Drosophila melanogaster: one gene and its partner. The protein of the gene in region 1 purifies or fractionates together with the protein of each later gene. This does not show direct contact. Each region holds a gene or a part of one and is shown on either strand. Other genes may lie near its edges.

The links. The genes of interacting proteins can lie anywhere in the genome.
Region 2: the proteins of cnn (region 1) and gammaTub23C purify together in Drosophila melanogaster (affinity purification with western blotting, with the first as the bait; 3 studies listed by BioGRID). This does not show direct contact.

The regions. Positions count from the first base shown.
Region 1 is NT_033778.4:13,447,427-13,452,348, reverse strand, and holds the start of cnn (centrosomin), read left to right. Parts: upstream 1-1,873; 5' UTR 1,874-1,990; coding exon 1,991-2,175; intron 2,176-2,948; exon of another isoform or gene 2,949-3,352; intron 3,353-4,922. Other genes in the region: Golgin97 (golgin 97), read right to left, coding at 1-27, 323-421, 474-1,259, 1,351-1,524. UniProt on the Drosophila melanogaster protein: Core component of the centrosome throughout spermatogenesis. May participate in mitotic spindle assembly and the mechanics of morphogenesis through an interaction with microtubules, either directly or indirectly. Is a target of several homeotic genes.
Region 2 is NT_033779.5:2,971,364-2,975,410, reverse strand, and holds gammaTub23C (gamma-Tubulin at 23C), read right to left. Parts: upstream 2,521-4,047; 5' UTR 2,353-2,520; coding exon 2,304-2,352; intron 2,246-2,303; coding exon 2,043-2,245; intron 1,983-2,042; coding exon 807-1,982; 3' UTR 553-806; downstream 1-552. Other genes in the region: CG9641 (uncharacterized protein), read left to right, coding at 1-233; Rrp1 (recombination repair protein 1), read left to right, coding at 3,114-4,047. UniProt on the Drosophila melanogaster protein: Tubulin is the major constituent of microtubules. The gamma chain is found at microtubule organizing centers (MTOC) such as the spindle poles or the centrosome, suggesting that it is involved in the minus-end nucleation of microtubule assembly.

The DNA of each region.
Region 1 (4,922 bases):
ATCTTTTACCTCTGTTTCCAAATTTTGCTGAGAACATTCGGTTTATTGGTTTACAAAATCTCCATCAATCAGTTTTGGATATTGAGGGTAAACATATATATGCGTGCATTATTGAAGGAAAAAGTTTACCAAAAAGTTTGCCAACGATTAAATCAGTTTAATACGAAAAGGAAAACATTTACAATCAAAAACTACATAATAGGTGTGGTTGGAAAATTCCAAGTAAACCAGGAGCTTAATTGGTAGAGTTAGTACTGCATTGTTGGTTAAATTAGTGTTACAAGTCCCAATGGAAATCGTCAGAATCGGGAGGCATACTCACAGATTTATTGCGCTCAAAGAGGACTTGCTGCTCGTTCTCCTCTCGGCACTCTTTCAGGGCCACACTAAGTTCATCGATTTCCTCCTCCAGCAGCTTGACCTGCAATTAAAGTGCATAAGTATTGGCACATAGGTATTACTATCTAACCTACCTTATCGTCCCGCTGCTTTATTTCATCTTTGGCTTTTTCGAGTTCGAATGATACCTGCTTGCGGCTTTCAATGGCATCGTCGCGGGATTTAAGGGCCTTTCGCTTTTCGGTGGTCTCTTCGGCCACTTGCTTGGATAGACGACTAACTTGGGTTTCCAGCGCCAGATTCTGGCCACTCCACGAGCCTTTGATGTCCGACAACTGCAGATGGGCCTCCTCTAAGTGCTGTTCCAGCAGTTTATGTTCCCGGATAAGGGCTTGCACTTGTTGCTCGGAGTTCAGTTTGCCCAGAGACTCGAGTCGCGACTCCTCGACGATTTTCATGCGCTTTTTGAGGTGCCGGTTCTCCTCCTGTACAGCCGCCAGTGTTGTGGTCAGCAGATTCTTCTCCTGCTGTGTAGAATGTCGCAGTTGCTCTAGTTCGTCGCGTAAATCTTCGGCCACGGATTCAATGGGACGCAGACGTTCTAGTTCCTCGCTCAAGGACTCGATTTGCTGGGTCTGCTGGCGCATGAGACCCATGCGATCCACCGACTCCTGCTCCCGAAAGCTAAGCAGATTCTTCAGCTTGTCAATCTCGATTTGCTGTAGATTCTGAATCTTCTCCTGCTCCTCGCAGTATATGTCCTTCTGCGTCTGGGCCACACGCACACTCTCTAGCAGAATCTCGTTGGTCTTGTCCACGCGCGTCTTCTCCTCCTGCAGCTGCTGCAATCCCTGCGTGACGGTGGACAGCTTCGTGGTGAGCTCGTTGCACTGACTTCGCAGCTCGCACAATTGCTCCGACTGCGAAAAGAGTGAAGGTGTTTGTTTATCCGTGTTTTTGTTTAATGTGTAAGTATACACAAATAGACTGTTTTTTTTTCGCTCAGTTTACCTCATTGTAGAATCCGCCACCGCCCACATCATCAGCTGAGTTGGAATTAATGCTAACGCGGCGACTACGTAGCCGGTAATTGTTGTTGTTGTTGCCGGGATAACGTTGATTGGCTGATTGGACCACATCATCGCCAGTTTCCTCCTTGATCTTGTTTTTCAGTGTAGCAAACATTGTTAGGTTTTTCGAGGGGGGAGCTTTTTCTCTGTTGCGCTGCTCTATTTTCTGTATGTGTACTGCCCCCGACTGAAGTTGGCCTGCTTGTGGCTGGGGCTGACGAAAACGTGCCCACAGAGCGTTTATAGCATGGCGTTATATCTGGTGGCCGTAGTGTTCTACTTGCTTATCAGGCGAATGCTAATTTTCGTAAACCGTCGATGTTGTTTACCATCGATAAGAATCGACTTTGCAGTAACGTAAATCGACGAACAGCGTTGCCATACCGCTGTGTTAACTTTTTCCCGTTGTACGGCAGTGCTGCCAGTGCGCATGGCAGCATTTCGATAACTGACGCCAGAAACAGCTGTTCCAGCGCGCTTCATTTTCCAAACAGAAAAAAAGTGTAATTGTTAGCGTCCTTTGTGAAATTGTCAAGTGTTAGAATTATTGTGTGCGAAAGTTAACTATTTGAGGACCTCCCATGGACCAGTCTAAACAGGTTTTGCGGGACTATTGCGGCGACGGCAATGGTACCTGTGCATCGTCCTTGAAGGAAATCACCTTAATTGAGACCGTGACCAGTTTCCTGGAGGAGAATGGCGCCGCCGAAATCGACAGAAGGGTCCTGCGCAAACTAGCCGAGGCACTGTCCAAAAGCATAGACGAGTAAGTCCAAAACACTAGCATAAACAATAGCTTACCAATAAGACTTGTGTGGCAAATCCATCGAAATCCCTGGCAACTGCGAGTGCGCAGCAGATGATCGCCATGTGACATGGTGATCGTGCCCACTGTGATCGGGAACTAACGCTCTCAGCTGGAGCTCTCCCGCATCCGTACTGCTCGGCCCCATAGGGGGAGGCATACTCACAAGCACAGGCGTACAATGGGCGTATTACCCACCCCAAAAAATTCGAAGAGAGGAACAATAATACATCTGCACTGAAAAAAATTTTAAAGCTAAATTTCCATCAATATTTATTTTAAAATGTTTTTTAAAAACATTAAGTGATTTGGATTAATTTACGATTTTAAATGAAATAAGATTTGTAAGGTACTCTTATAAGATGTACTTTTATTTTTAAGATTGTATGCTTCATCACTTTTTCAAATGCTGAATAGAGTCAAAGTTTAATACATTTTTTTATTATAATCTTTAGATTTACTATTACTATTCTGATTCCTAATGAAAATGAAAATTTAAAAGAAAAAGAATTGGGAACACAAATGTAATCCCTTAAGTATACAACAGATATTTCTGTATTCTATTCGTAGCCAATGAACTGAGTTTGCTGACCGCTTTCTCGCTGTGTACGGCATTGGGAAATGCGTAACATCTGCTGAGCGCATTTTCCTTTTTCCTCGCAGATGAGCCCGAGTTTTCCGCCCGTTTGCTGCTCTGCCTTTGGTCGCTCTGAATCGGTCGCATCGCAGTTTCAGTCAGTTATGTTCTAGCTTTCGGTTTATTTGGACGTGCAGAGAGCGTTTTTCGGTTTATTTTGCTTGCCTCTCGGCTATCAATCGTGCCATATGTACATACATACATATCTATATACTCACTTACCCATATATACATACATATATGTAAATAGAAACAATCAGCGGGTCAAGCGTTGTGCGGGTGTGTGAGTGATTGATTGTACATACATATCTGTACATAAGTGCAATTGTTTATATTGCACTGCGAGATACAAAAAGTGATAGATTGATTTGTAATTTATTGCATTCGTTGCTGTGGATAAGCGATTAGTGGGATGCTGGTGGTTCTCGGATGAAAAACAAAAAACCAAATCGAAATACACAGATATATAAAGTACAAAGTGTGCTCGGATTTACAATAAATGTAATATATACTTAGAAATACTAAAGATATCTGTGCTTGTGCCCCCTGATGCTGCTGCTGCTGCTGTTGTTGTTGTTGTTCGTTTGTCGTTTTTGTCGCCACGATGCTGCGGCTAATTTTAGTCGGAGAAAAAGTATACGAATTAATTTGTTTGTGAAATAGAGCATTCCATGGCTCAATCGACAGCCGCAACAACCTATATCATTATCTGCGTTTTCGCACTTCCTGGAACTCTGAATTTCGTCACAAGTCGTCTTATCAGACTGCAGTTTCGTCGTATGCTCCATGTGTGTGTGTGTGGGTTAGTTAGTTATATACACATGTGCATTCATCAGGGGTCATGGACTCGTGGAATTAACCCCTATGGGGTAAAAACCGAACAGAGCACCTCTTTTGTTGCCCTTCCAAAACTGCAACGCTGACTTCCCTACCCTCGAAAAACAAAGCATCCTGGTTGGTAAAGTACAGTATCGTTTGTATGATATGTAATTTGAGGGATCATAAGTAGAATTTATCATGCAAATGGCTCATTTAGTTTTGTTTTTATCGCATTCATTTAAATTTAAATAAGGAATTAAAAAAAAACACACTTTAGTCATAATTTAATTGAGTAATGTTATATTTTATTTCTTATTCAATTGAAATTTCCTTTCTAATTTTGAACAATAAACATCTTGCATATTTTATGAATGTTTTGATTCGATTTATGAATATGAGTGACATTTGACATCCTGTTCAAAAGCCTTCAAGATTCAGTGCGTCCTTCGTCATATGGTTATTGTCTTAAGATGCTTTCCTCGCATATCACTCGCTATAGTCTCGATCCACTTCTGTTTATTGTTATTGTATTTCTTTGTTGATTAAGGCAGGCGCCTTTGTGTGTCGTTGGCCATAGTTTGACACCCACTCGAGGCGCGCCAGGCAGCCAGGTAGATGAGTCGCGTCTGCGTTCCAGGTGAGGTGAGAATGGGCTGTTAACTGCAGTTTACCTGTCGATGTGAGGGCCCTAAAATGCATTCGCGGCAAAGTTCAGGTGCTAAACGAAGAGACACATGTTCCGGCACGGTTCAAAATGCACACCTGTTGTTCCCAGTGACCAGGTCGCTCAGCTGTCGGCTTAAACCATTGATTTTCATTACCACCATAGTAACCAGCGATAGCCGAATGCCAAAACAAAACAATGAGTGAAAATGTTTGGCAGAATTTTCTTGTCCCGTTCACAAATTGCTGTTTCTAATGCGGTCGCCGTTTTGCTGTTTGCTCAATTCCCAAAATAAATAACGACCAGAGGCGGTGCGTGGTGCAGTGTATGTGGTGGTTAGTATCTTCAACGATGCGGTGGCCCACATGTGCCGTCGTCCAACCCCCCGTCCTGTTGGGGATGCATCCCGTCCGTAGGAGCGCCAGACTCTTTGAAGACTCTTCTTCCGCTCTACGGCTGAATGCTCCTGATTGCTGCTGCGCACGTCGCATCGCCCAGCAGCCCATGACTCATGGCTGCCCGTCCCTTCGAAGACGACATGGCGGATACGTAACGAAGTTTGGCGTGCGCCGCGAAAGTATTTAGGGA
Region 2 (4,047 bases), on another chromosome or scaffold:
AGGGAGATGATGATGATGAAAATGAGAATGAGATGACTGAAGATCATGATGAGGTGGAAGAGGCAGCTGAAGAGCAACACGATGATGTGGAGTTCATTGAAGAGGAGCCGGGCGAGAAGAGCAATGATGTAGAGGTCACTCCTGAAGCGGAGGGCGAGGAGTGCGAAGAGCCTCATCAGGAGGAAGAGAATTGCAACGCTGAGGTGGTTAATGAAGACACATGCTCCTTGTAAGCAAGCCGATGGGTAACGGGATTCATGGTAACGAAAAACTTCCTTGATTTATAAAATGTGCTTTATATATCTAACTCTTTTCTTCTTCAATACAATAGGAACATTTTAAACTGAATAACACACCCTAAACATATTTGACATACGAAATGACATGACAACGGAACAAGGACAGCAGTATCGTGCAGCTTCACAAGTGAATTCTCACTGCAATATCAGTTCATACTGCCTCAAGTCGACATTAACCATAAGGATTTCATATTATAAAATACACCAAAGAAATATGTAATATACTTCTCAATAAACACTCACTACCACATTTAAAAACTGTTTTTTATTTAATGTGTCACATATTAAACATGATCGGGAAATCTCATGTGTAATTTTGCAACAATGGAAATACGAACGTTAAATATCGTAAAAGACGAAACAGCGTTTACATACATGCGAGTCATACCAACAATCGTCTTATCACTACTACTTAAGGATTTCGAATCCCATCGTCATTGGAGAATATTACATTTTAAAATACATTGGTTAAGATGCATGGCACGCATTTCTTCTGGCACAAGCGAACTAGGAACCGGCGCTGGTCACAGATCGACTATCCTCCGACTTGGAGTCAACTGGCCCATTTCCCCGCTTCACTGAAAACTGCATGTAGTCCTCACGCGTGGCTGCCTCATACTCTTGCACCAGGCAGTCAACAGTTTCGCGAGATTCGTCCAGCTCATTGAGGTCGTCCTTGAAGATGTCCTCGCGTCGAAACTGGTCAAGAAAGGCGCCGCGCTTGCGAAGCTTGTCATACTGGTTGAGAGCTCGCTCGAAAAGCGAGCAAATGCTGGTGTGGTTGGCCAGCATCAGTCCGGACACTCGATGGTTGCTCTGCACGTAGGGCGATGAGCGGGAAAGGGCTACCTGGATAGAGGTGGGGCCCCAGGGAATGAACTGGGCCATCTTGCGGTCGCGGATGCGCTGCAGTGACTTGTGCACTTGAGTGGGATCCACCTCGCCCTGGATAATGTTTAGAATGGAGATGTAGCAGTGATGATTTGACTTGTCGGGACCAGTGGACACCATCATGTTCTTGGGCTGCAACAGACGCCGCATTACATCTAGAACAGTAGTCTTTCGCACATTAACCAGCTGCTGGGTATGGATATCCGAATCGCTAGTCAGCGGCGTGTAGCCTGTCATGAGAAAATGCAGCTGGGGCGTCGGGATTAAAGGAGCCGTCAGCCCAATGAGATTGTTGTTCATGTAGGATGGATACCTCAGCGTAGTGGTGCTGACGCTCATTATGGTGGAGACCAGGTTGTTGATCTGCGAAAAGCTGGGATTCTGAATGTGCAAGCGATCGCAGGCAATACGATTAAGAGCAGTGTTGTCCAGGACAACCACACTGTCCGCAGCCGTAGTCAAACGTTTCAGGGTGAGCATGGAGTTGTATGGCTGCACCACTACATCACTGATCTCGTCCTGATTGGGAAACACACTGAATGTTTGGATAAGTTTCTTGGGATAGCGGTCCGCCAGGCGCTCCATGATAAAGGAGCCCATTCCCGATCCCGTTCCGCCAGCAATCGAATGGCAAAGTATAAAGCCCTCCAACGAATCGCTTCCATCTGCCTCACGGTCAATGATGTCGAATACCTCTTCTTGCAGCTTTTCGCCCTGGCTATAGCCTGAGGCCCAGTTGTTGCCCGCACCGCCTCCGTGCTTGGATAGGTACACATTTTCCGGATTGTAGAGCTACGGGAGTTAATAGTAGGTTTGGCGCAAAAAATTAAAAGTTATTTAGAGAGGACTCACCTTGGAGTAGACCGAGCCCATTATGGTATTGATCACCCTCGGTTCCAAGTCCAAGAGCACCGCGCGGGGTATGTAGTGGTCGTCGTCCGCCTGGTAGAAGAACACATCCTTGCGGTCCAAGCCATCATTGGCAAAGTCCTCCAGCACGCCGCTAGGGGAGATGCCATGCTCCAGGCACAATCTTTTCCAGAACTCAAAGCCAACTGCGTTTAAACGATTTTAGCAATGCAGATGGTACTCGTCCTGATTTCAGAAACCTACTTTGATTGCCGCACTGCCCAAGCTGCAAAGTAATTATTTCACTTGGCATTGTGGTGTGTTGTTTCCGGCCAGAATCGTCAAGTGAAGTTTCGCGTTTAAGGTCGAATTAGTCGAAATAAAATAAAACACAACTAAAAGATCGTCGAATTATAACAAAATTTTTAAAAAATCCCACAGCGGGGACGTACTTTGTAATTTTAAGAAAGTCCAGTGTTGATAACACCGCAGCGTTTAATGGCGTCCTCATTTGAAAGGTGGCGCAGTGTGCCCTCTGTTATAAAATATATATGATTACTTAAGACCTTTATTGTGAATTAAATAAATAAAAATAAACATTACATTTTTCTACTTTGTATTTTGGAAAGGCAAAAAAGTGTTGGAAATCTAAGACTATGAGTTAGAAAGATCGAAACATGTCATGAATATCAATCTAATAGTTCAATACTAAGCTTAACTTGAATATAATTTTCTATAAGAAAGTTTTTCAATTAGGTTATTGAGCTCCACCCATTTTGTACTACTAATGACGTCGAACTATTTGTACTACTAGTGACGTCACAATGTGCAATATTTGCTCCACAGTCGTGTTTTTCCAAGGAAGGCACACAAATAGTGTTGTAAGCAGACCAAAGTCAAGCCGACCGGCTTGCAAAAATCGCGTTGCCCGCGCAGTTTTCTTTTTGTTGATATCGGGTGCTGAACCAAGCGACAGTGGCTCTGCAAAACAAGCAAAAGAAAAAGCTGGAAATCTGTGGAAGTAAATACAAGTCATTTTTGAGAACCTATCAGTCCGAGCAGTAGAACTCCATAATGCCGCGTGTCAAGGCCGTGAAAAAACAAGCAGAGGCGTTGGCATCTGAACCCACTGACCCCACTCCAAATGCCAATGGGAATGGAGTCGACGAAAACGCAGACTCTGCCGCTGAGGAACTCAAGGTGCCGGCAAAAGGAAAGCCGCGCGCGAGGAAAGCCACCAAGACGGCTGTATCTGCGGAAAACTCCGAGGAAGTCGAGCCACAAAAGGCGCCCACTGCAGCCGCGCGTGGCAAGAAGAAGCAGCCGAAGGATACAGACGAAAACGGCCAGATGGAGGTGGTGGCCAAGCCGAAGGGACGCGCCAAGAAGGCAACTGCAGAAGCAGAACCAGAACCCAAAGTCGATCTACCAGCTGGAAAGGCAACTAAGCCACGTGCCAAAAAAGAGCCCACTCCTGCTCCTGACGAAGTGACGTCTTCACCGCCTAAGGGACGCGCTAAGGCTGAGAAACCAACGAATGCCCAGGCCAAAGGACGGAAGCGAAAGGAGCTGCCGGCAGAAGCAAATGGAGGGGCCGAGGAAGCAGCAGAGCCGCCGAAACAACGGGCAAGAAAGGAAGCAGTACCAACGTTAAAGGAGCAAGCTGAACCAGGGACAATAAGCAAAGAGAAGGTGCAGAAAGCTGAGACAGCTGCCAAGCGGGCACGCGGAACCAAGCGTTTGGCAGATTCTGAGATCGCAGCTGCTCTCGATGAGCCGGAAGTGGATGAGGTGCCGCCAAAGGCTGCTAGCAAGCGAGCAAAGAAGGGAAAGATGGTTGAGCCATCGCCCGAGACTGTAGGAGATTTTCAATCAGTACAAGAAGAAGTGGAATCGCCTCCAAAAACTGCAGCTGCACCCAAGAAACGCGCCAAGAAAACAACCAATGGTGAGACTGCGGTAGAACTTGAGCCAAAGACCAAGGCAAAGCCCACTAAACAGCGCGCTA